Linked DNA regions of Nothobranchius furzeri. Each later gene encodes a partner of the first gene's protein in a complex. Links are inferred from orthologs where the notes say so. Each region holds a gene or a part of one and is shown in the gene's direction. Other genes may lie near its edges. The genes, in order: strip2, strn4, stk26, striatin and strn3.

Evidence for each region.
Region 2: strip2 (region 1) and strn4 share a complex: the UniProt entries of both Homo sapiens proteins name them as parts of the core of STRIPAK complex. The link is inferred for Nothobranchius furzeri from reciprocal best matches to the Homo sapiens genes STRIP2 and STRN4.
Region 3: strip2 (region 1) and stk26 share a complex: the UniProt entries of both Homo sapiens proteins name them as parts of the core of STRIPAK complex. The link is inferred for Nothobranchius furzeri from reciprocal best matches to the Homo sapiens genes STRIP2 and STK26.
Region 4: strip2 (region 1) and striatin share a complex: the UniProt entries of both Homo sapiens proteins name them as parts of the core of STRIPAK complex. The link is inferred for Nothobranchius furzeri from reciprocal best matches to the Homo sapiens genes STRIP2 and STRN.
Region 5: strip2 (region 1) and strn3 share a complex: the UniProt entries of both Homo sapiens proteins name them as parts of the core of STRIPAK complex. The link is inferred for Nothobranchius furzeri from reciprocal best matches to the Homo sapiens genes STRIP2 and STRN3.

What each region holds. Positions count from the first base shown.
Region 1 is NC_091741.1:53,353,968-53,358,213, reverse strand, and holds part of strip2 (striatin-interacting protein 1 homolog), read left to right. Parts: intron 1-2,767; coding exon 2,768-2,959; intron 2,960-4,246. UniProt on the Homo sapiens protein: Plays a role in the regulation of cell morphology and cytoskeletal organization. Required in the control of cell shape. Calmodulin-binding scaffolding protein which is the center of the striatin-interacting phosphatase and kinase (STRIPAK) complexes.
Region 2 is NC_091753.1:40,954,264-40,958,509, reverse strand, and holds part of strn4 (striatin-4), read left to right. Parts: intron 1-1,742; coding exon 1,743-1,846; intron 1,847-2,036; coding exon 2,037-2,113; intron 2,114-2,211; coding exon 2,212-2,290; intron 2,291-2,372; coding exon 2,373-2,558; intron 2,559-4,246. UniProt on the Homo sapiens protein: Calmodulin-binding scaffolding protein which is the center of the striatin-interacting phosphatase and kinase (STRIPAK) complexes.
Region 3 is NC_091742.1:86,837,736-86,841,981, forward strand, and holds part of stk26 (serine/threonine-protein kinase 26), read left to right. Parts: intron 1-3,158; coding exon 3,159-3,227; intron 3,228-3,305; coding exon 3,306-3,467; intron 3,468-3,644; coding exon 3,645-3,701; intron 3,702-4,246. UniProt on the Homo sapiens protein: Serine/threonine-protein kinase that acts as a mediator of cell growth. Modulates apoptosis. In association with STK24 negatively regulates Golgi reorientation in polarized cell migration upon RHO activation.
Region 4 is NC_091752.1:1,718,178-1,722,939, reverse strand, and holds the start of striatin, read left to right. Parts: upstream 1-1,445; 5' UTR 1,446-1,661; coding exon 1,662-1,871; intron 1,872-4,762. UniProt on the Homo sapiens protein: Calmodulin-binding scaffolding protein which is the center of the striatin-interacting phosphatase and kinase (STRIPAK) complexes.
Region 5 is NC_091758.1:17,987,979-17,992,224, forward strand, and holds part of strn3 (striatin-3), read left to right. Parts: intron 1-2,871; coding exon 2,872-3,010; intron 3,011-3,099; coding exon 3,100-3,235; intron 3,236-3,358; coding exon 3,359-3,498; intron 3,499-3,570; coding exon 3,571-3,749; intron 3,750-4,135; coding exon 4,136-4,183; intron 4,184-4,246. UniProt on the Homo sapiens protein: Calmodulin-binding scaffolding protein which is the center of the striatin-interacting phosphatase and kinase (STRIPAK) complexes.

The sequences.
Region 1 (4,246 bases):
TCTCGGGGGCAGAAGTTGCTGAGGTAGTCAAACAACTACACAGCGGCGGAGCCCCGGGGGCGGATGAGGTTCGTCCTGGGTATCTCAAGGCTATGGATGTTGTAGGGCTGTCATGGTTGACACGTCTCTACAACATTGCGTGGTCATCGGGGGCAGTTCCTAGGGAGTGGCAGACCGGGGTGGTGGTCCCCATCTTTAAGAAGGGTGACCTGAGGGTGTGTTCCAACTATAGGGGGATCACACTCCTCAGCCTCCCTGGAAAGGTCTACTCCAAGGTACTGGAGAGGAGGGTCCGATCGATAGTTGAATCTCAGATAGAGGAGGAGCAATGTGGTTTTCGTCCTGGCCGTGGAACTGTGGACCAGCTCTATACCCTTGCAAGGGTGATGGAGGGGGCATGGGAGTTTGCCCAACCAATCCACATGTGCTTTGTGGATTTGGAGAAGGCTTATGACCGTGTCCCCAGGGGCACCCTGTGGGGGACGCTCCAGGAGTATGGGGTGGGTGGCTTTCTGTTAAGGGCCATTCAGTCCCTTTACCAGAGGAGCGTGAGTTTGGTCCGCATAGCCGGTAGTAAGTCGGACCTGTTCCCAGTGAGGGTTGGACTCCGCCAGGGCTGCCCTTTGTCACCGGTTCTGTTCATCACTTTTATGGACAGAATTTCTAGACGCAGCCGTGGTGTGGAGTGTGTCGAGTTTGGTGGCAGGAGAATCTCGTCTCTGCTTTTTGCGGATGATGTGGTTCTCCTAGCTTCATCCAGCTCTGACCTTCAGCTCTTGCTGGGTAGGTTCGCGGCCGAATGTGAAGCGGCTGGGATGAGGATCAGCACCTCCAAATCTGAGACCATGGTTCTCGACCGGAAAAGGGTGGCTTGCCACCTCCGGGTCGGGGGAGAGGTCCTACCTCAAGTGGAGGAGTTTAAGTATCTCGGGGTCTTGTTCACGAGTGAGGGTAGGAGGGATCGGGAGATCGACAGGTGGATTGGTTCGGCGTCTGCAGTGATGCGGACGCTGAGCCGATCTGTCGTGGGGAAGAGGGAGCTGAGCCAGAAAGCCAGGCTCTCGATTTACCGGTCGATCTACGTCCCAATCCTCACCTATGGGCATGAGCTTTGGGTAATGACCGAAAGAACGAGATCGCGGATACAAGCGGCCGAAATGAGTTTCCTCCGTAGGGTGGCCGGGCTCAGCCTTAGAGATAGGGTGAGGAGCTCGGACATTCGGGAGGGACTCGGAGTAGAACCGCTGCTCCTCCGGATCGAAAGGAGCCAGTTGAGGTGGTTTGGGCATCTGGTCAGGATGCCTCCTGGACGCCTCCCCGGGGAGGTGTTTCGGGCATGTCCTGCCGGCAGAAGGCCCCCGGGTCGACCCAGGACACGTTGGAGAGGTTACATCTCCAATCTGGTCCGGGAACGCCTTGGGGTCCTGCCGGAGGAGCTGGTGGACAAGGCCGGGGAGAGGACGGCCTGGAGCTCCCTAATTGGGATGCTGCCCCCGCGACCCGGACCCGGATAAGCGGAGGAAGACGACGACGACGACGACGACGAATTGCCTATTTTTGCTCATTTTAAATATATTTTTAAACATTTTCTAAATGCTTTTTTTATATTTTTACTTTCTTTGTTTTGTTTTTGTGAAGTGCCTCGTGATTTTTTATCTTGAGAGGCGCTATAGAAATGATATTTTCTTCTTCTTCTTCTTCTTCTTCAGTTCTTGCGATGTCTGGTATGAATCGATTTCTTGAGGTCTTTGGATCATTGTCCTGTTGCATCGTCCCATCTTCTGTTGAGCTTCAGCTGGTGGACAAAAAGCCTTAAGTTCTCCTGCAAAATGTCCTGGTGCAGCAAAGCAACCCCGAACCATGATGCCCCCACCACCATACTTCAGTTGTGATAATGTTTTGGTGTTTGTGTGGTGTGCCTCTTTTTCTCCACACACCCCAAACAACTCAAGTTTGGTTTCATCTGTCCACAAAATGTTTTGCCAGTACTGCTGTGGAAGATCCAGGTGCTCTTTTGCAAACTTTAAATGTGCAGCAGTGGCTTCCTCTGTGGTGTCCTCCCATGAACTCTGTTCTTGTTTAGAGTCTCACTTACAGTATATTCGCCAACAGGGATGTTCGCATATGCCAGAGATATTTTCTAAGTCTTTAGCTGACACTAGGATTCCTCTTCACCTCACTTCTGCAGTCAGGACGGCCCCTTCTACAGGGAAGAGTAGCAACAGTGCTGAACTTTCTCCACTCATAAACAATTTCTGTTACGGTGGACTGATGAACATCAAGGCATTTTGGAGATACATTTATAACCCTTTCCAGTTTTATGCAAGTTAACAACTCTTAATCATTGGTCTTTTGAGAGCTTCTTTTGTGCGTGGCATCAGGCAGTGCTTCTGGACAAAAGCAGGTGTGTGTTCTTTATTGGTCAGGGCAGCTTTAATCAAGACTTCTAATCTCATCACACTGATTGGACTCCTGTTGGCTGACACCTGACACCACTTAGCTCTTGGAGATGTCATTTGTCTAGGGTTGTCATACTTCTCCCACATGCACTGTGAATGTGTACTTGGTGTGTTCCATAAAAACATGGAAACGTATAACTGTTCGTGCGTTAGTTTAAGCAGACTGTGACTGTCTAGTGCTGTGACCTAAATGAAGATCAGGTCACATTTTATGACCAGTTTGTGCAGAAATGTATTTAATCCCAAAGGGTTCACATACTTTTTCTTGCTTCTTCTTCCTCAAATCTCTGATCATGCTTGTGTTCTAGTTTACGTTGGGGGGGTTTGAGGAGCTGCAGGAGATGAAGGTGCGTGGCCGAGAGCGTCTCTGCCTGACCCCCCTCCCAGAGGACAGTATCAAGGTGGTCAGAGCCATGAGAGCAGCCTCGCCTCCCGCCTCAGCCATGGAGCTGATCGAGCAGCAGCAGCAGCAGCAGAAGAGAGGCCGTCGCAGCCGCAGGGTACAACACACACACACACACACACATTTAGAACATGTTGGGTTTGATTGTGAACATTTCCGCTCATACACAACAACGTATGAGAGCCTGAGCAGTTTTCTCCTGAATCTTCCGTTGACGCGCTGATAAACATGAAAGCTTTGCCCGTTCAGACGGGGAAGCTTGGTGCTACGTTGATTTACTGTTGTGTTTCATCATGCAAATAAAACACGAGTAGGATGATGACGGATCAAAAAGAACACAAAGCCAAACACTGAAAGTCCAATCAGACCAGCAGTTAGGACCACATTTGGGTGTAAGCGCATTTTTATTTGTGGCTAAATGAAAAAACTTTCTAAAATCACTTCATTAGCGATGTGAATTGTTTGAAAATCAAACTTATACATCTCGACAAGTAATCATCAGAGGATTTCTAATTATTTCTAACAATGACTAGAAAATACAAAAAATATATGTAACACTCGCTTTTCTGTGACAGGTCATGAAAAATCAATGACTTTGTTGTCTTCACTCTGGTAAACAGTTTCATGCATTGTTCTCTTTGTAGGTCAAAGCTGTACGATGCTGTGTCCTCCTGAGGTCCTCATAAAGCTTTATCCCAGAGATTGTCCACAGATCACAGATGCTGATAATAAAAGCTACTTAAATTGAAATTTGAAGGTGAACATTTAGTCTAGGGTTAGGGTTAGAGAAGGAAATCTGTCAGTAAGAGAAACCCTCTGCAAGATCAGAATAAATATTTGTTTTATAGCAAATGAACGTGTTTTCAGTGTTATTTAAATCTGAGCCAACAGGGCTGAGTGCTTTTCTAAGAGAAGAAATCTAACGATGCAAAGCGTGAAGTCAGCTAATAACCAGCGTGATGCAAAGAAGGAGATTATTGCACTAAAGGAGTGACCGCTGCTGATCAAAACCACATTTCTTGTTACTAAGAGAAGGTCAATAACATTTAGGCATATTAGATGTTGCAGCTGTTTGTGAAGCATTTAGGTTTTCTATTAAAAAAAAAGAAAAACGGGTACTAGCTAATTTCTGATTATTTACCTTTTTATTAACACAGAACAGGTCATTTTGCTCCTAACACAGCAGACATAGAAATCCTGCTGTAACTCATCACAGTTTTGGGCTTTTGGAGCTAACATCATCCATTCCCCTCAGTGACCACAGATGGTCTTGGTGCTCCGCTTTGGGAATCCCAGCTTTCTTTCTTTCTTTTCTTTCTCTTTCTTTCTTTTTTCTCTTTTTCTTTCTTTCTTTCTTTCTTTCTTTCTCTTTCTTTCTTTTTCT
Region 2 (4,246 bases), on another chromosome or scaffold:
GTTTGAATTTGCTAGTGTTGCACCTTTAGCCGTGATTGGCTAAGAGCCTCGTTTTACTTTCATCTTTTTTCTTTTTTACTAATCTTTTTGCTCGTTAATTTGGTCGACAGTAGTTTAACATTTAGGCATTTAGGTCACAGGTTTCCAGACTTTTCCGCTTTTGTTCCAGCAGATATTATTTGATGAGATCCGTGGCCCAGATTAATGCAGGGGAACGTTGCTAATGAGCCATAAAACAAAAATTCTAGTCAACCATATTTTTATCCTTTTTAGCTACTGTTTTTATCTCTATTTAACAATTAAAGTATCTCTCCGGTAGTGTTTCTCTTATCTGATGGCACCATCTGGTGGCTGACAAGCATATCACACAAATAGTCACTCGATCCATTTTTTTAAGATGGCGACTTCATGTTTCTTGTTTCTGAATGTGCTTCTGTAGCCGACAAACAGAGCTAAAACACGCATTACAAGTATTATACTCATATCGTGTTGTGCTTTCATATATCTTAAACACTTGTTGGTGAAAAGTTCATCAACTCTGCATCAGCCGAGGTACTTCCTTAAATTTGAAGCACGTAAGCAGTACGCTATTGGTTAGTTCTGGTCGGCGCTCAGGTTCCTATTTCACGGAGCTCTGCGGGGCAGAGGGCGTTCTTATCAACAAAGACGTATTGCTTACATTACATCACAGTACATGATAAGACGATCACTTACGGATTTCTGAAAAATCATATATAACTTCTGAAAAGGGAAAACTCCGGAACCTTAAGTGTAAAAGTCACATTTAAATTTATGTTTATTTTGAGGAATCATCTCAGAACCAGGTCGACCGATACGGTTTCTCTATTGCTGATACCAATGCCGATATGTTGGAGGCATGGTCAGCCGATGTGCTTTTTGAACTCTGAATTTAACCAGCTGTTAAATCTTAACGTTGTGCACAGCTCATTGTTAATAATGGTAATTTAGAGTATTCATCATGCACATGTTACTAGTGAGCATAAAAATACATTTAAATTAAATGCTGCAACAGCACTGGGTTGTCCAAAGATGTGCCTGACTTTAAATCAGCTTTACTAAGGACAAATATCAGCTGTTGTATTAAAATCAGTAAATATCAGACCGATATATCGACTGGTCGATATATTGGTCTGCCCATAATGGCTACCCAATCCATTCATTTTCATTTGAATCAGGCCTTTTGAAGCAGAGGAACACTTGAATGTACCAAGGTCATTATCAAAATATAAAACATCCAAATTATATTAAATATAGTCAAGAAATCCTGTCCAGACTTGAGTCCAAAAAGGAAATTGTGGAGTAATTTAAAGGTTGCAGAGATGAGTGGGACGCTTTCCAAACTTGAATCCCCACTGATCAGATTCCAAAAAAAGAACATTCCCAGTGGAAATCTGTGAAGCTAGACGTTTTAATAAGCTGTTTGACCTTTGTAACGGCAAATGAAGAACTAATATTTTTATCATGGCATTTGTAGAGAAGTAAATCAGAAATACCTACATAGTCTTTACGGTCACTCTTCACTTCTTTGTGGCGTTTGCAACAAAAGGGATAAAAAATGAAAATGTTGTCTAAAGTATTGGGTTTTAGTTGGCCTATATGAGCCCATGTGGTAGGATCTGCACAATTTCCTTTTTAAAATAAGGATTAAGTGTATTCATAACCGTGTGTGTGTGTGTGTGTGTGTGTGTGTGTGTGTGTGTGTGTGTGTGCGTTACATACAGGCTCAGGTGGCATTCCTACAGAGTGAACGGAAAGGGCAGGAGAACATGAAACAGGACCTGGTGAGGCGGATCAAAATGCTGGAGTATGCCCTCAAACAGGAAAGGTTTGTTCTCATCACATTATTCCTGCAGCCTCTGATAAAATAGGACATGTATAGGACAAAGCTGATGTCGGCTGTTTTGGCCCCATCTAACAGTTGTGTACATTCTCCAGGTGCTGTGTTTAGTAAATAAAGCCTTGGATTGGCTTGTTGTCGGGTAATTTTCCCGATGGGATTTGTTTTGTGTCTCCAGGGCAAAGCACCAGAAACTGAAGACAGGAAATGACCAGAGTCCTGGAGAAAAGAAGCCAGAGATGGAGGCAGAGCAGCGTATGTTTTTCACTTGTTCTTGTCTACGAATGCTGCATCTTTTAGAGCCGAACGTGTTTTTTTTCCTACTCATGGCTTGTTGAACGTGTTTTCTGTAGTTCTCAATGGACCAGCTGAGACAGACTCTGAGCCAGCCAATCAGATGTCCTGGAAGGAGGGACGTCAGTTACTACGCAAGTGAGTTTGCCTGATAATTTCAAATCCACTGATGCTATATTATGCTTGTGTTTTATTATTGATTTTCCGTCTGTGGTTGCAGATATCTGGAGGAGGTCGGCTACTCAGATACCATCTTGGACATGCGCTCCAAACGTGTGCGCTCCCTGCTGGGTCGGAGCAGCCCGGAGACGAACGGGCCTCCGCCCGGCGACAGCTGTCAGGAGCCAGAGCCACGAGCAGCTGGAGAGTCCTTGCTGGTCCGGCAAATAGAGGAGCAAATCAAAAGGTGAGGCGTAAATACAGACGCTATCTTTGACGTTACGCCTCACGTACATGCTGCAGTGACGGCACAAACAGCTTCCACATTTTGCTGCACAAAACTCAAATTATTTGGGGGAAAAACAATCGGAAGAAAGGAGAGGAGGGCTAATTTTTCAAAACACTTAACCAGTCCAACCCAGTTCAAGTGGAGGGATGGAACTGGCTGCCAATAAACCTGAGTCACCTATTTACTGATGGTGTCAGGGCTAATAACAGTTACAGGATGAATCTGACAAGTCTAGTTTCTCCTCTAATGCTGCTGGGCGTAGTTCACAGTAAAAATAACAACAAAACAGGCTTCAGTAGACGGAGGCAAGGTTTTTAACTCAAAACTGAGATCAGAAAAAGTAAAAAAAAAATCCAGAGGTTTATAAAAACTAGAGAAACATTAAATGTAATCAGATTCATAGATTTGAGACATTGGACAAAGAAGTGGTTTTAGTATGTCAAAAATAGTGACAATACTTAAAAATTATTTTACAGCGGTGGATTACTCGTTTAAATAATACATTCGCAGTGGTCTCTGCTAGGAGCGAATGGCTTGTAAGTCATACTTTGAAGAAACAATTATACTGGTGCACCATTTCTAGGACCTCAGTTACCCACAGCTGAGCTTCAGACGGCAGGATTTGGAGTCTTATTTCCTGATATTTGGACATCTCGCCCTGGATTGGATAACAGCAACTCTACCACTGACTGTTTGCCCTCCAATGTTGATCTCTACAAATAATACAAGCCTGGAGAAGTTCTGCTGTGTGTTTGAGATGCTAATGCTAATGGTTAGCGTCTGCTAGTTGAGATGTCCTCTGCTGTTTCCTGGCTGTTAAACCAACAGCCTCCCCCGTCATGAGTCAAGATGGGTGAGTCCATGATTGTTAAGTGACCGTGTGATGTAGATCTGTCAGGTTTTTCTAATCCTAGAGTTTCACCGTCTATTTTCTATCGGAAGCTAATGCAGGAGACAGGAGTAGGAGACTATTTTCATGTTCAGCCTGCATGGAAAGCTCACAGTGACCAATTATATTCAGAAATATGTTCAAGTGTTTTCTAAATTCATTAATCAAAGTTTACAATTATAAAACATAAATTTATTTTAAAGAGCAAGTTCCCTGAGAAACCGATTTTTTATTTGTCGTTTTTTAAATATGATCAGTAACTCTCAGTTTAACGTACAGGAACTAAATTAGATGCTGAAAGAAAATAGACGTGGAAACATTGGGATTAGTAACGCCTGATAGATCTAAGTCACATTTAAAATTAGCGTTCGTGAACTCACCCATCTTGGCTTGTGGCAGGGAATGCTGTTGTTGGTCTAGTGCCCAGAAGAGAGTAGAAGCTAACCTTTACCATTAGCAACTCCATCACGCAGCACAACTCCTCCAGGCTTGTGTTATTTGTGGAGATAAACCATCAATGTTGCAGATCAAGTGGAGCGAGTGGTAGTCACATTACAGTTGGCCAATCAGAGGCAAGATATCCAAATATCAGGAAACAGGACAATACATCCTCACTTCCACTTCCTGAAAATTTTCCCACAGAGATCGACTCACAAGGCATTTAGTTATGTACTTGAAATCCAGCAGCAGAATGGTGAGAGACCCAGAAAAGGGTCCAGCTAGCATCAGAGCATAATCTAATAAATTAGACAGTTGC
Region 3 (4,246 bases), on another chromosome or scaffold:
AGTGTAAAATGTTTATTCTATCTCGAGGTGGCTCATATCCTGTCATCCACAATATTATCAGTAATTATATCCATAGACATTCCCTGACTGTGTGGGGGTGGGGTTTGGCCAGTCTTTCTACACAAGCAGGATAAACAAAACTAAAACACGAACGAACGTCCCCAAATAATAAAATCCACGAAGCCAAATGCAAAGTTTAGAGTAGAACATTTACTGCGAGGTTTCCTGATTGAGCAGTCATGTGAGAATACATGTAATGACTGCTTAAAGACTACGCAAGCTAGTAGCTAGTGCTAGCAGCTATCCGCTATAAGTGAGTATGGTTGCTTTGGCAAAGATTCATAATCGTTTATGTCCGCATCTTCATGCATCGATTATTTCATTATTTTCCTCAGCTTCACTGAGCACCCCCAGCTAAACAAAACAGCACACTGCCTACAACTTGTTCTGATTGGTTCATTGATGTGTCTGTCATGCCGACAGCTGTGGCAAAAGAAAACAATCTTTTATACAGAGCATCTCAAGATGATGGTCATTAGGCACTTCCCAAATGTATACAAATGTACACAAAATATTTCTAAATATTATTAAAAATATGTTAACAATGAGAAAATTTTTCAATTGTGATTAAAAAATATGTAAGGAAAAGGAGAGAGAAAATTCATAGGAAAGAGGGAAATAGGTGGATCCCAGAAAAGGCGGAATAAGAGCAGAATAGAGAGTGGTGATGAAGGTCACAAAAGCCATCCGGAACAAGTGAGTCTTCAGCTGCTTTTTAAAGGAGACCACTGAGTCCACTGATCTCAGGCTCAGGAAGAGAGAGTTCCAGAGTCTGGGGGCTACAGCAACAAATGATCTGTCACCTTTGGTCTTTAGCCTGGTGCTGCCTAACCAGTAGGCTTTGATCACTGGACCTCAGGGACCTGCTGGGGGTGTAGGGACTAAGAAGATCGCCAATGTAAGATGGTGCTTGTCCATGTAAGGCCCTATAGACCAGAACCAGGATCTTGAAATGAACCCTGAAGTTGACCGGCAGCCAGTGAAGCTGGAGGAGAAGTGGGGTGATGTGGGTGTGTTTGGAGGACTTGGTCAGAAGCCGAGCACAGGCATTCTGAACCACCTGCAGACGGTTCAGGGAGGTTCTGCTCAGACACGTGAAAAGAGAGTTACAGTAGTCTAAGCGTGAGGAGATGAAGGTGTGGAGAACTGTCTCAAGTTCAGAGCGGGACAGAATGGGACTCAGCTTAGCAACGTTCCTGAGATGGAAGAAGGAAGAGCGAACAAGAGAACTGACATGAGAATCCAGGATGAGAGCTGGGTCAAAGGTCACACCAAGATTCCTGACAGAGGGTTTGGTGTGAGAAGCAAGCTGAGCAAGAGAGTCTCTGACTTTGGGAACCAGCAACCATTGGTTGAAAAAATGTGAACCTTAATGGACTGCTTATATCAGAGATTTTTGATGCAGTCCGATATAATCCGATACACTGTTTTTGGGCCAATATCAAATTACTTTCGACATCGATATCGGAACGGGACATCCCTAACTTAAATTTGGTGCCCTAAAGAGAAGGAAGCCCCTCTAGGATCGCTGATCAACATGCAGAGCTGAAGCACAGCAGAGAGGGAGGAGGAAGAGCAAATTTAAAATAAATAAATAAATATAACATTTGTGACTTAGACAGAATAACGACATATAAAATACATAATAATTATTTTTGGGCTGCTCAATTAATCGAATTTTAATCCCAATTACCATCTGAGTTTTGAACGATTATAAAAACAAAACAAGCCGATTATTTGCTCCTCCCACTTGCGCTGCCCGAGTTGCAAATGAAGCGCTCCTCCCACAGCTGTGGTTGGGACAATTATTACATTAACTGACGGATCTGTAAATAAATAGTTCATGAATAAGGTATAAATAAGTTCCTCACGCTGATAAATAATAACTAACCTCTCTGAGGACACGGTGCTAGTGCACTCTCCTACAGCACCTTGACACGACTCATTAAATGTTATGCAACATTTTGTGAACATCACTTTATTTGCATGTATTTGTTATAAATGCCACTGCATAATTCTTGCTGTCAGTATTTGCAAGATATTGGTATTTGGGTCTGTACTGGTTAGACTTAAATGAGTTAAACCAAGCAGTGGCGTGTCCAGATCTTTTAGAATGGGGTGGCCCAGGTGAGGCACAACTTTGTGCATGGGTGGCACCAATGGTTATGCTTTTCTTTTTGTTTTACCCCCAAGCCTTTTGTGGACAATGAAAAGCCTATTTAAAGTTAAATTAGTGTGGTGGTACCTGGGGTGGCCAATCAGATTCCAAGGGTGGCATGTGCTACCCCAGACCACTCCCTGGACACACCCCTGAAACCAAGGTCTATAGCCCTTGGGTCATAAACTATGAGCTATAAGTGTATTGGTCTTTTTTATACTGGGAATCGGGTTATTTTAATTCAATTCAATTCAAGTTTATTTATATAGCGCCAAATCACGACAAGAGTCGTCTCAAGGCACTTCACATAATAAACATTCCAATTCACAGTTCATTAAACCAATCAGAAATAATGTTTCCTATATAAGGAACCCAGCAAATTGCATCAAGTCACTGACTAGTGTCAGTGACTATACAGCAATCCTCATACTAAGCAAGCATAAAGCGACAGTGGAGAGGAAAACTCCCTTTTAACAGGAAGAAACCTCCAGAGAATCCTGGCTCAGTATAAGCAGCCATCCTCCACGACTCACTGGGGATTGAGAAGACGAAGCAGGCCCGCACGCACGCACGCACGCACGCACGCACACACACACACACACACACACTAGTAATGTGTCTATAGGTATATTGTGATGTCTTTTAGTGATCATCTTGTTTCTTATTTATTTTTGTCCTGATTGTGCCCTGAGCAATTTTATGACGGAATAAAAACAAATAAAATCAACATAAATTGAAAAATCGTCCTAAATAATCGAGATCTCAATTTCAGTCACCATAATCGTGATTATTATTTTTGCCATAATCGAGCAGCCCTACTTATGATGCTAATAACTGTCCTGAAGGCATTTCTCTAAAAACTAATTTAGTGTTATATCACAATAATTTTCCATCAAAGGAAACACTTTTAAGACAACATGTTTCCGTTTCCTCTCCTCAGAGTTCTCACGTGGATCCAGAGGAGCTGTTCACCAAACTGGATCGAATTGGAAAAGGGTCTTTTGGAGAAGTGGGTCCATTTTCATCTTTGTTTTGTCTCAGACATTCCATTCCTTCCTGATCCTAACTTTTTATCTACCTCCAACAGGTGTTCAAAGGCATCGATAATCGCTCTCAGAGTGTTGTCGCCATCAAGACGATCGACCTGGAGGAGGCGGAAGATGAGATCGAGGACATCCAGCAGGAGATCACCGTGCTCAGTCAGTGTGACAGCCCATACATCACCAAATACTTTGGCTCCTACCTGAAGGTGAGAAAAGACATAGTTCAGGCTGATCCGAGTCTCGTCGGTGACGAAGGTGTGTGTGAAACAGTTAACAGAGAGCAGCCGTAGTTAGTGTCTGCTGCTGGTTTCCAGCATCTGCTTATCGTTTTCCTTTTGCTGCATTTGCTGTAACTTATTAACACAAATGGTTTTCTTGTTCAGGGCAGTAAACTATGGATCATCATGGAGTATCTGGGTGGTGGTTCAGCGCTGGATTTGGTGAGCGAGCTGGATTTATCTATTCAGTCTGTCTGCAGACAGTTTTTAACACTAAAACAACCTTCAGGTTGAGTTTTATGCTAAGTAGCTGCAGTTTAGTAAAAAAAAATTAAATGTCCTCACACTTAATCTTGTATCATCTAAAATATCTGAGACACGATGTTCTCTGATGACAAACCTGAGCTTTTATGTTGCATTTTATCAGCCAGTAAAGTCCAGCAATGGTGCTACAATGTCTTGCCCCGTTAGGTTGGTTTATGCTTGACGCGTCCGCGAGGTCCGCACCGCTCCGCGCGGAAAAGTTGCGTCATTTTGCGTCATCTTAACAACCACGCCCCTCCACCGCGCCTCCGCACGGCCCAGAATTTCCGCAATGCGCACGTCGGAAAATTTCTAACCACGCGGACAGACGGACGCGGAAAAACATGGCGGACCGGCAAGAACTACTACGGCAGAGGTTCGTAAACACAGACATTTGTATGATTCAGCTCTCAAAGATCACCGTGATCAACATGTTGTTAATAATTCTTGGAGAGAAATAGCTC
Region 4 (4,762 bases), on another chromosome or scaffold:
CCATTCACATTGAAGTAAAAAAGTTACATTTCATGAACAAACACTGAATGTTCATCTTTGAAAGGTTGCTTTAAAATCTCACATTTTAGTAGGTGAATGTATCACAATCAGACCTGATTTCTATTTAAAGAGCAAGTCACCCTAAATCAACTTTTCTTTGCTGATAAACTATATAAACAAGTGTCTAATGATGCTGTAGACACGTGCAGTCAATAAATTGGCTCTTTAGTGCATCTTAGTTAAAATTTAAATATTCTGCCTTAAACAGCAAGCCACCCCCAAATCAGCTGTTTTTTTTTACTGATAAACTGTATGAGTGTCTAATCATGCTGCAGACACGTGTTTTCAATAGTTTAGCACTTTAGTGCATCTTGGTTCAAATTTAAATATTCCGCCTAAAACTGTCAGTGTTGTGCCGTCGTCAGGTAAAAAACTGCACTGCATTTGAATTTAAATCTGGCACCACTATTGGCTAAGAGGTAAATTATGTTAGCTGGTACCTTATGATGTCACAACGTCTTGAGCCTGTGTGTGTATTTGTTAGCGACTCCACCCTCTCGGTCTGCTAGTCAACAGCATTTGTTGCATTTTTCAAACAGGAAGTGGAAGTGGAGTAATACGCTGGTAGGGGGTGACTTGCTCTTTAAAGAGCAAATGCTGTTGCCTAGCAGACCGAGAGGGCGGAGCTGCTAACAACACACACACACACACACACACACACACACAGAGGCTCACAACGACACAACGCTGACAGTTTTAGGCTGAAAATTAAAATTTTAACTAAAATGCTTAAGTGCAAAACTATTGACTACACGTCTGCAGCGCGATTAGACACGCATTTATATAGTTTCAGAAAAAATAAGTTGATTTGGGGGTGACTTACTCTTTAAGTGATCTGATTTAAAGCCCTCTGAATGCTGATGTTTGCTGTTTATTTATTTTCAATGAATTTGCATCAGCAGTCTGGCAATCAGTGTGTCTATGAATTACAATTGTTTGTGACCTTTCCACTGATCCATTGAGTGTTCTTGTGCTTATTTGAGAGTTCAGCATTTTCTTTTAGTTTTAACATTCCTCCTAGAAGCTGTCAAACAAAATGAGATTACTTCTGGGCTTTGTATTGAGCCAGCAATGAGATTTTTACTACTGCTAATGGAAGTATTGTAGTATTTGGGGGAAAACACGTCGTTTGTTGTATGTGCTGCCTAATATAATCACTCAAGGATGATTTTATTCCCCAACTCGGTGTCTTTTGCTAACAATCTTCTGTCCGTCTCAGCTGTAAACTCACCTTGGCAGGTAAATAAAAATGTAATATTTCACTCGTTTTTTGAGGGAGTTTAAATAAGTGTCCTTACTGTTATTTTTTCCATTTGGTAGGATTTTATTAAAGTATTTCCAGGCGCTAACATTTGGTTTTGAGTGAAGTTGAAACTGTTTGCTCCGGACGGTCCTGGTGAAGAAATCGAGCGTCTCTTAAATGTGGGCGTTGCTGCGTCTCTGACGTCGGTCGATGACAGCTAGCTGTCAGAAAGTGAGTTCATTCCCTGAGCAGCGGCGACGGAGTGCCGTCGATAGTTTTTTATTTTTATGATTTTTTACCCATCTGTTGGTATCGGGTACATCGAGGCAACGGAACGACCTATCCACCGAGCCCGGCCATGGACGAGCAGGCAGGGCCCGGGGTGTTCTTCAACAATAATAACTCTGTTTTAGCCGGCGGTGGGAAAGGACCTCTGCCCGATGGCGACGCTGGGGAGGCGGCTAGAGCGCAGTACAGCATCCCGGGGATCTTGCACTTCCTGCAGCACGAATGGGCCCGTTTCGAAGTTGAAAGGGCACAATGGGAGGTGGAGCGGGCCGAGCTGCAGGTGAAAATTGCCTCATATTTTAATTAACGCCCACAATCTTTTCTTTACCTGGGAATTGTGCTGCTTGTTTGTGGTGAAATCCCGCTGATTTTCTGTGTTTGATTGTTCTGGTCGTTAGCTTTAGCATTAGCAGCTAAAGGAGCTACAGCGCCCCTCTCACTCGGCTGTTAGCGATGTCTTTGCTTTCACGGAAACCACTAAATGAACCTCACACACTCCGTTATTGTAATACATGCTTTAGCGAGTGTTTGTTTTCACGGTTTTCTTGTGAAAATAACAATTAATAGCAATTATATGTATTACCAAAGTAGTTGGCGTAAAATATGTAGCATCGGAACGGACTCGGCTTTATATATTGGTACATGTGTAGCACCCTGCTAAGGTTTCTACTCTGTTTATATGTAAAACATGTAAAGTAAACAGGCATTAGCATCTGTTAATGCTCTGATCTCCTGTAAGCCGACAGACAGCTTTAAACAGACATCACATACCAAGAGTCTGGAGTCAGCATTGTTTATTAGCTAGCTGCCTTGTCACTGTCACTCCTGAGGAAAGGCATTCAAATGCGCTCTAATCTGTCCTTTCCCCTTGTTGTTTTGCTTTTTTCTGCTGGGTCTCACTGTATAGAAATTATATCTGGTTCCCAAAATTAGGTCAAACAATTTAGCTTTTATTCATAAGTCAGAATGAGTGGATCAGGTGGCAGTTTGAGGGTAAATTTAACTTGGAGATAAATCTTATTTATTGTTTTAGGTTTCCAGTCCACTTCTAACGTTAACACATGTTGCATCTTTTAATAGATTATACCACAATGTTTTAAAAGCATGAACTGCTCTCTGTAATGCATGGATTGATTTGTAGTTCGATTCCTTTTGTACGATGTTTCTCATCTATTTTGACCCAGTCGTGAGGTGGTATCACAATCGGATCAGTTTTACTCTGCAGGACAAACTGACCTCCGCTAACAGAAGAGACCAGAGGGAGGGAGTCATGGCATTGTTTGTACATTGATGACATACACCACGATCTGTCTGGCAGGCTTTTGACTCAGCCTCATGCAGCACTTTCAGTCTGCCTAGCAGATCATGCTTCCTTTCCTGTCTGCTGTCATGAATTGAGCTTATCAGCCAACAAGCTGCTGTGGCTGTGGCACAGCACAGGGTGGTTGGTTTACTGGGTGGTTTTATTTGTGGCGGCAATACGTGTGCGCGCTCATTTAGAGTTATTGTTTTGTTTAACAGGAAAATGATTTGTTTACAGGACACAAAATTGACCATAGTTGTAGTAAAATCGTTTTTTTACTGGCATCATTCTGCACACTTCATCAAGCGAACATCAGCGACTCTGTTCTCGCTTTTCCAGTGCTGCACGAAATGAGAGCAGACATGATTAATACTCTAAAACTTCCTTATGGGATGTAACCTTGTGCTGTCCTTGAGGTATTCTTGCATAAATATCACTTTTCCAGAGAAGCTGCTGGTGAAATAACACAAGGAAGGAAAGATCAAAAGCCATTTAAAAGAAACTTAATAGATCTCGATGAATAATGAAAGGCTTGAGCGCCATAATAGAAGATGTCAAGTAGCACTTTGACGTCGCTGACCTGCTGGAACATTCAGATTTTTGCGTTAAACTCAGTTTCAGATCTGCGTTTTAAAAGCCTTGGTCCGTCTTCTTGTTTGAAATAATTCTTGTATAAGTTGGGTGAAAGCCGTGCCTGGTGTTCATTGAGAGGAAGACACACCTGGTGCTTGTAAAAATAAAAATGCTGTCTAGCTAGCCTGTGAGATTGTTTAGGAGGCCACTCCTCTTTTCTGGGGTGTGTTCCATTTCTTGGTGGGTCATCACCACCTGGCATCCGTGAATGAATTTGGTTGATAAGCCAATTTTTTGTGTTACTGCTGATGTGAAAATAAATGTACAAGAGAAGAATTTAGTTATCAGATGATGGTAAATGGCCTGTATGTGATACAGCGCCTTCTACGGTTCTACAACCCCCCAAGGCACTTTGAAATACAATGCACACACATGCACTCTCTGGTGGTGATGAGCTTCATTGTTGCCACAGCTGCCCAAGGGTGCCCTGACCGATGCGAGGCTGCCAAGCACTGGCACCACAACGTCTTCTGACCAGCAGGCAGGGCAGGTTGAGCACCTTGCCAAAGTACACAGACACTGCGACAGATGGGGCTTGAACCAGCAACCCTCTCGTTAGGGGACGGGCACTTAACTACTATCACCCTAATTATCATTGAATTATTAATACTTTCAGAAAAGAAGCAAAGAAATAGTTAAAACAAACTCAAAACACATATTAGGTTTTAGCAGGTTTGCTGAAATTAGTGCTGCATGTTTTTTTATTAGCATAATTATTACTTTTTCATTAGAATTGAGATAATAAATGTTAATCGCCATTATTCATTGACTTTAATGAGAAAATGTTGAATTAGCTGCCCTAAAATGTTGCACTTCATTCGGATATGTGCAGCATTCTTGTCATTGAACACTGGAGCGACGTGGCAGAGGAGTTAAGTGCCCGATCCGTAACTGGAGGGTAGCAGGTTCACGCACCTCTCAGTCTGCTGTAGTCATCGTGTCCTTGGGCAAGACACCGGTGGTGGTCGGAGGGAGCGGTGGCGCCAGTTCTTGGCCGCCTTGTCTCCGTCGGTGCACACCAGTTCAACTGTGGCTGCACTGTAGTTCATCATCACCACTGTGTGAATCTGTGTGAGTGAGTGGGTGAGTGACTGGTTAGTTGTAAAGCACTTTGGGGGGTTGTAGATAGAACCCTAGAAAGTGCTATATAAACACATTCACCCACCAACTTTACTGCATTTCATAGACAAGCGGTTTTGTTATAAAAATTTTTTTTACCAGTGTTTAAGCTCATT
Region 5 (4,246 bases), on another chromosome or scaffold:
CCGCTAGGCGCGCTGCGCGCACCGTCAGCTACGTCAGCCCAGACAAGAGCAGAGCAAATAGAGAAATAATAGAGGATAATTGTGTCTGGATGTGGATGGAGATTACATTTTACAGCAGCCTGATCATCATTTAAATACGTAAACCATCACCTGTCCTCTAGTCCACGCTATCAGCATTATTTTAATTTGTGTGTGTGTGTGTGTGTGTGTGTGTGTGTGTGTGTGTGTGTGTGTGCGTGCGTGCGTGCGTGCGTGCGTGTGTGTGTGTGTGTTTTCCACATCAAACACTGGTCTAATCAACCAGACCAGCATGTCCAGTAACATATTAATGTTACAATTAAACAGTTTCACTTCATGTAGGCTAGGAACATTTCACCTGCCGTGGCCCGACCGCTTCTGCTCCACATAAACTTTGTGCGTGATCAAATGTCTCTACGCGTCATGCGTCTCCATATTAGACACGGGAACAAGCGCTGTTCAGCCTAAGTTTCATAATTTCATAAAAAGAACATTTTTCCAAGTGACACATCCCTCAGAGAGACCGGGTTTCCAGACCGCTTCAGTGGGAGGAAATCTTACCGCATGCGCCGTGGTTCTGCACTGCGCTGCAAACCCCTCTACAGATCTTCAGCTCACTGTCCACCGTGGGCGCTCCGAGCCGCGCTGAGCACAGTGTCCAGTATAAAGCTCTGATGTTCTGATGGGAATCATTTCTTGATTGATTTAGTTACCTCCGCGATGTGCGTAACGATTAAAATGTCAGCTCATCTGTGTGTGCATCAGTGTGCGTCGGGGTAATTCTTTCAAAACAACCAACATCCTTGAGTTTATCTGTCAAAATAAACAGTCAAATGGAAATATCTGTAACCTGCCATTTTACTGTTTTGCCTTCTTGTGAAGATTGTTGCAAAGAGAAACAACTAAACTTGATTAACCCCAGAGCCATGCACACTGCACTGTACTGACTGTAAAATGAGGGGGAAACGATTTAATTGGATCCTTTTCTCTTCAACATGGTTTAATGTAAAGTTTCATTCAGTACAACCTTTAGTTATACCAATCTAACGAGACAGAGCCTTTATTTGTATTCTGAACAGTTTAAACATGTTTAAAACGGAGACATGCGTGACACGTCTAAAATTCGCACCTGCTCCGCTGTTATGGAAATTAAGCTAACAAGATGAATAACATGAAATTATTTTGGGCACAGACAACATCCCCCACACTTTTGAAAAGCTTGAATGTGCCTGTCTGCCCCCACTGTTGATGGGTTGAATCTAGGGCTGGGAGATGTGGCTTCAAATCAGTATCACAGCATGATGAGCAGTTCACATTAAAAACGATGAATGGACGATAATTACCCGTATGCGCAAATACAAAAGTTGTCCACTAGATGGGGCTGTGGCAACATAATCGCTCCACAGCTGGTTTTATTGATGGTAATATTCCCCCACATCTATTCATAGTATGAATAGATGTGGGGGAATAATCAATATTTACTATGAATTTCATAGTAATTATTAATTAATTGCTACTTAAAAATAATGCGCAACTAAGTACTTAAGTAATTTGAGTTGTCAGGTAGTCAGGTTCTCTATAGAGTGGTTGTACTGAATGTTACGTCCTTTATTGGACAAAGCTGATCTTGTCATCTTGCTAACCAGGCTTAAACAATGGGTAGGGATCTCAGGGATTGCTCTGGAGTGGCAGGGGTCTTATCTAACTAGGATGTTGTATGAAGATTGGTAAAGCTCCATCTTACCTCATCTGAGGAGTGCCGCAAGGTTCCATCCTCAGACCCCTTTTATTTACCCTTTACCTGCTTGACATTTCAGAAGTATAAGCTGAGTTTTCATCTACATGCTGACTGTTGTTAAAGCTATTGCCCCATGAAACTGGGATAAAATGGTGCTTTTAAGATTATCCTGGCATGTCTGGAGGAGGTAAATATTTGGCTGGCTTACAGTTTTCTGAGTTTAATGAAAATAAAACAGAGGCCATTGTCTTGCTGCTGTTTTTACAGATTAAACTAAAGACACAGGAACAGACTGTGTTGCTACTTAGGAACCAAAAGACACAATTTTATATACAAATCTGCATCATCCCTTGAGCTATGTGGCCTTTGAAAGACTTCCAGAAGGTCTGAAGAAATGAAGATGGACCTGTTGCCAATCTAGATGGAGTAATGATGTAGTTTTCTTCTGAGACATGGGTTGGGCCTCCATAGAGGGTCACGAATAACGGGTGGGGACCGGAGAAGATCTCCAGAAATCTAAAACATCAAATCATTATTCCTAAAAGCATATTTGTTTAGAAATCTGAAGTTCCCATAATATTCAGGGTTTTGGTAAAGTTCAACCAGTGGTTTTTGGGCTTTCAGGTTGTGGAATGGTGCAAACACATTGAATAGAATAGGATAGACTATTGATCCCACAGAGGGGAAATTCTCTTGTTACTGCAGTATAAACACTTAAGAGAATACTATGAAGAAAAATAATAACAAAGGTACATGTATACACACATAGGCAGTAAGCTAGTATTGTAACCTTCAACCACTAAAAACCACAAATAAAAATGAAAAACTTGGTTCCAGAACCATGCAGCATACTGTAAGGGATGCAGACATACTAAGTTCATCTGGTTTTGCACAAGTATTGAACACATACTGAGTATTGCATTGATGCTTTTGTGTACCAGGATAATACCAGTACAGCTTAAACTGAGGAGTTCTACACTCTTACTGCAGAGGGGATGAATGACCCACAGAAGCGTTCTGTTTTACATCTGGGATGTCTCAGTCTATCTCTGAAGGAGCTGTCCATGGTCTCCAGAGTGGACGTGTGTGTGAACCACATGTGTGTTTGTGTGCAGAATTCCAACTGACAACTTGGAGACGTTCAACTTCTTGGAGAACACAGAGGACAGTGATGAAGATGATGATGAGGAGGGAGACCTAATGGACGACATCACTACGGACAAACACCATCGAGCTAAAAAACATAAAATAAATGTATGTGAAGAGAAACTGTGACTTAGCACCATTTCCCTCCTGTACTCCATTCTCCTGGAACTTTTTTTTCTGCTCTCATGGTCGACCAGGTAGGAAACGAGGGCTTAGCAACAGAGGATGACGCAGACACGGAGGAAGCTTTGAAGGAGTTTGATTTCTTGGTGACGGCAGAGGATGGAGAGGGGGCGGGGGAAGCCCGCAGCTCTGGTGATGGGACAGAGTGGGGTGAGATAGTCATCACACGTTAGCCAGCCAATGATCAAATGCAGAAATAAAACATGACGCATGTCTGAATGTTGGTGTCTGGACGTTTTGGACACAAGTGAATTTATCTGAGTCTCTCTGCAGCAGAGCCTCTACCCTTTTCCACTGCTGGGGGAAAGTCCTTCTTACTGGGGGGGTCTGATGATGTTCTGGAAAGCGTGCTGGGTTTGGGGGACCTTGCTGACCTCACCGTCGCCAACGATGAGGTGGACTTTGGCTACGATGTGAGGAAATGAAACTCAGTGGAACTCTGTCTGAATTCCTGATAAATGAGCTCACTCTGGTTTTGTCCTCAGCTCTCCTCCAGTAAAGAGTCTTCCTTCAGGAAGACCTGGAACCCCAAGTACACGTTACGGAGCCACTTTGATGGGGTCCGAGGGTTGGCGTTCCACCCTGTGGAGCCCTGCCTGGTCACAGTGTCTGAAGACCACACGCTCAAACTGTGGAACCTCACCAAGACCGTCCCAGCCAAAAAGTATGTGTTCTGATTTCTGGGCCCTCACTGGGTACAGGAGCTGCATCAGCTCAGGGTGTTGGTGGCTTTTAGTCGTTCCTGTGATCTTCTCTCACCTACACGACGTCGTCAGACACAGGTCCTCTGAGCTCACCAGGGACACTTCAGCTTTCTTTTACTCAGAAAAAAACTACAAATGAAAAACACAATGAGACACTAGGAACCAGGTGAGAACATTCAGACTGCTGATTCGTTAGATATTCCAGGGGCGTGGCTTCCAGACATATATACAGTTAGCAGGTTGTGTGTTATGATCAGATAAGGAGTTTGTAAAATGCTCGGAAGCTTTCAGGATTGATGTTTATTTAGAACACCAATAACAGGTGTGATGACATTCTGTGTTCCAGAAGTGCCTCGTTCGACGTGGAACCGGTCTACACCTTCAGGGGTCACATGTATGTATCAGAACCAATGTGGAACATTAACATGTCACGTCTCCTTTTAACACATCAGATTCC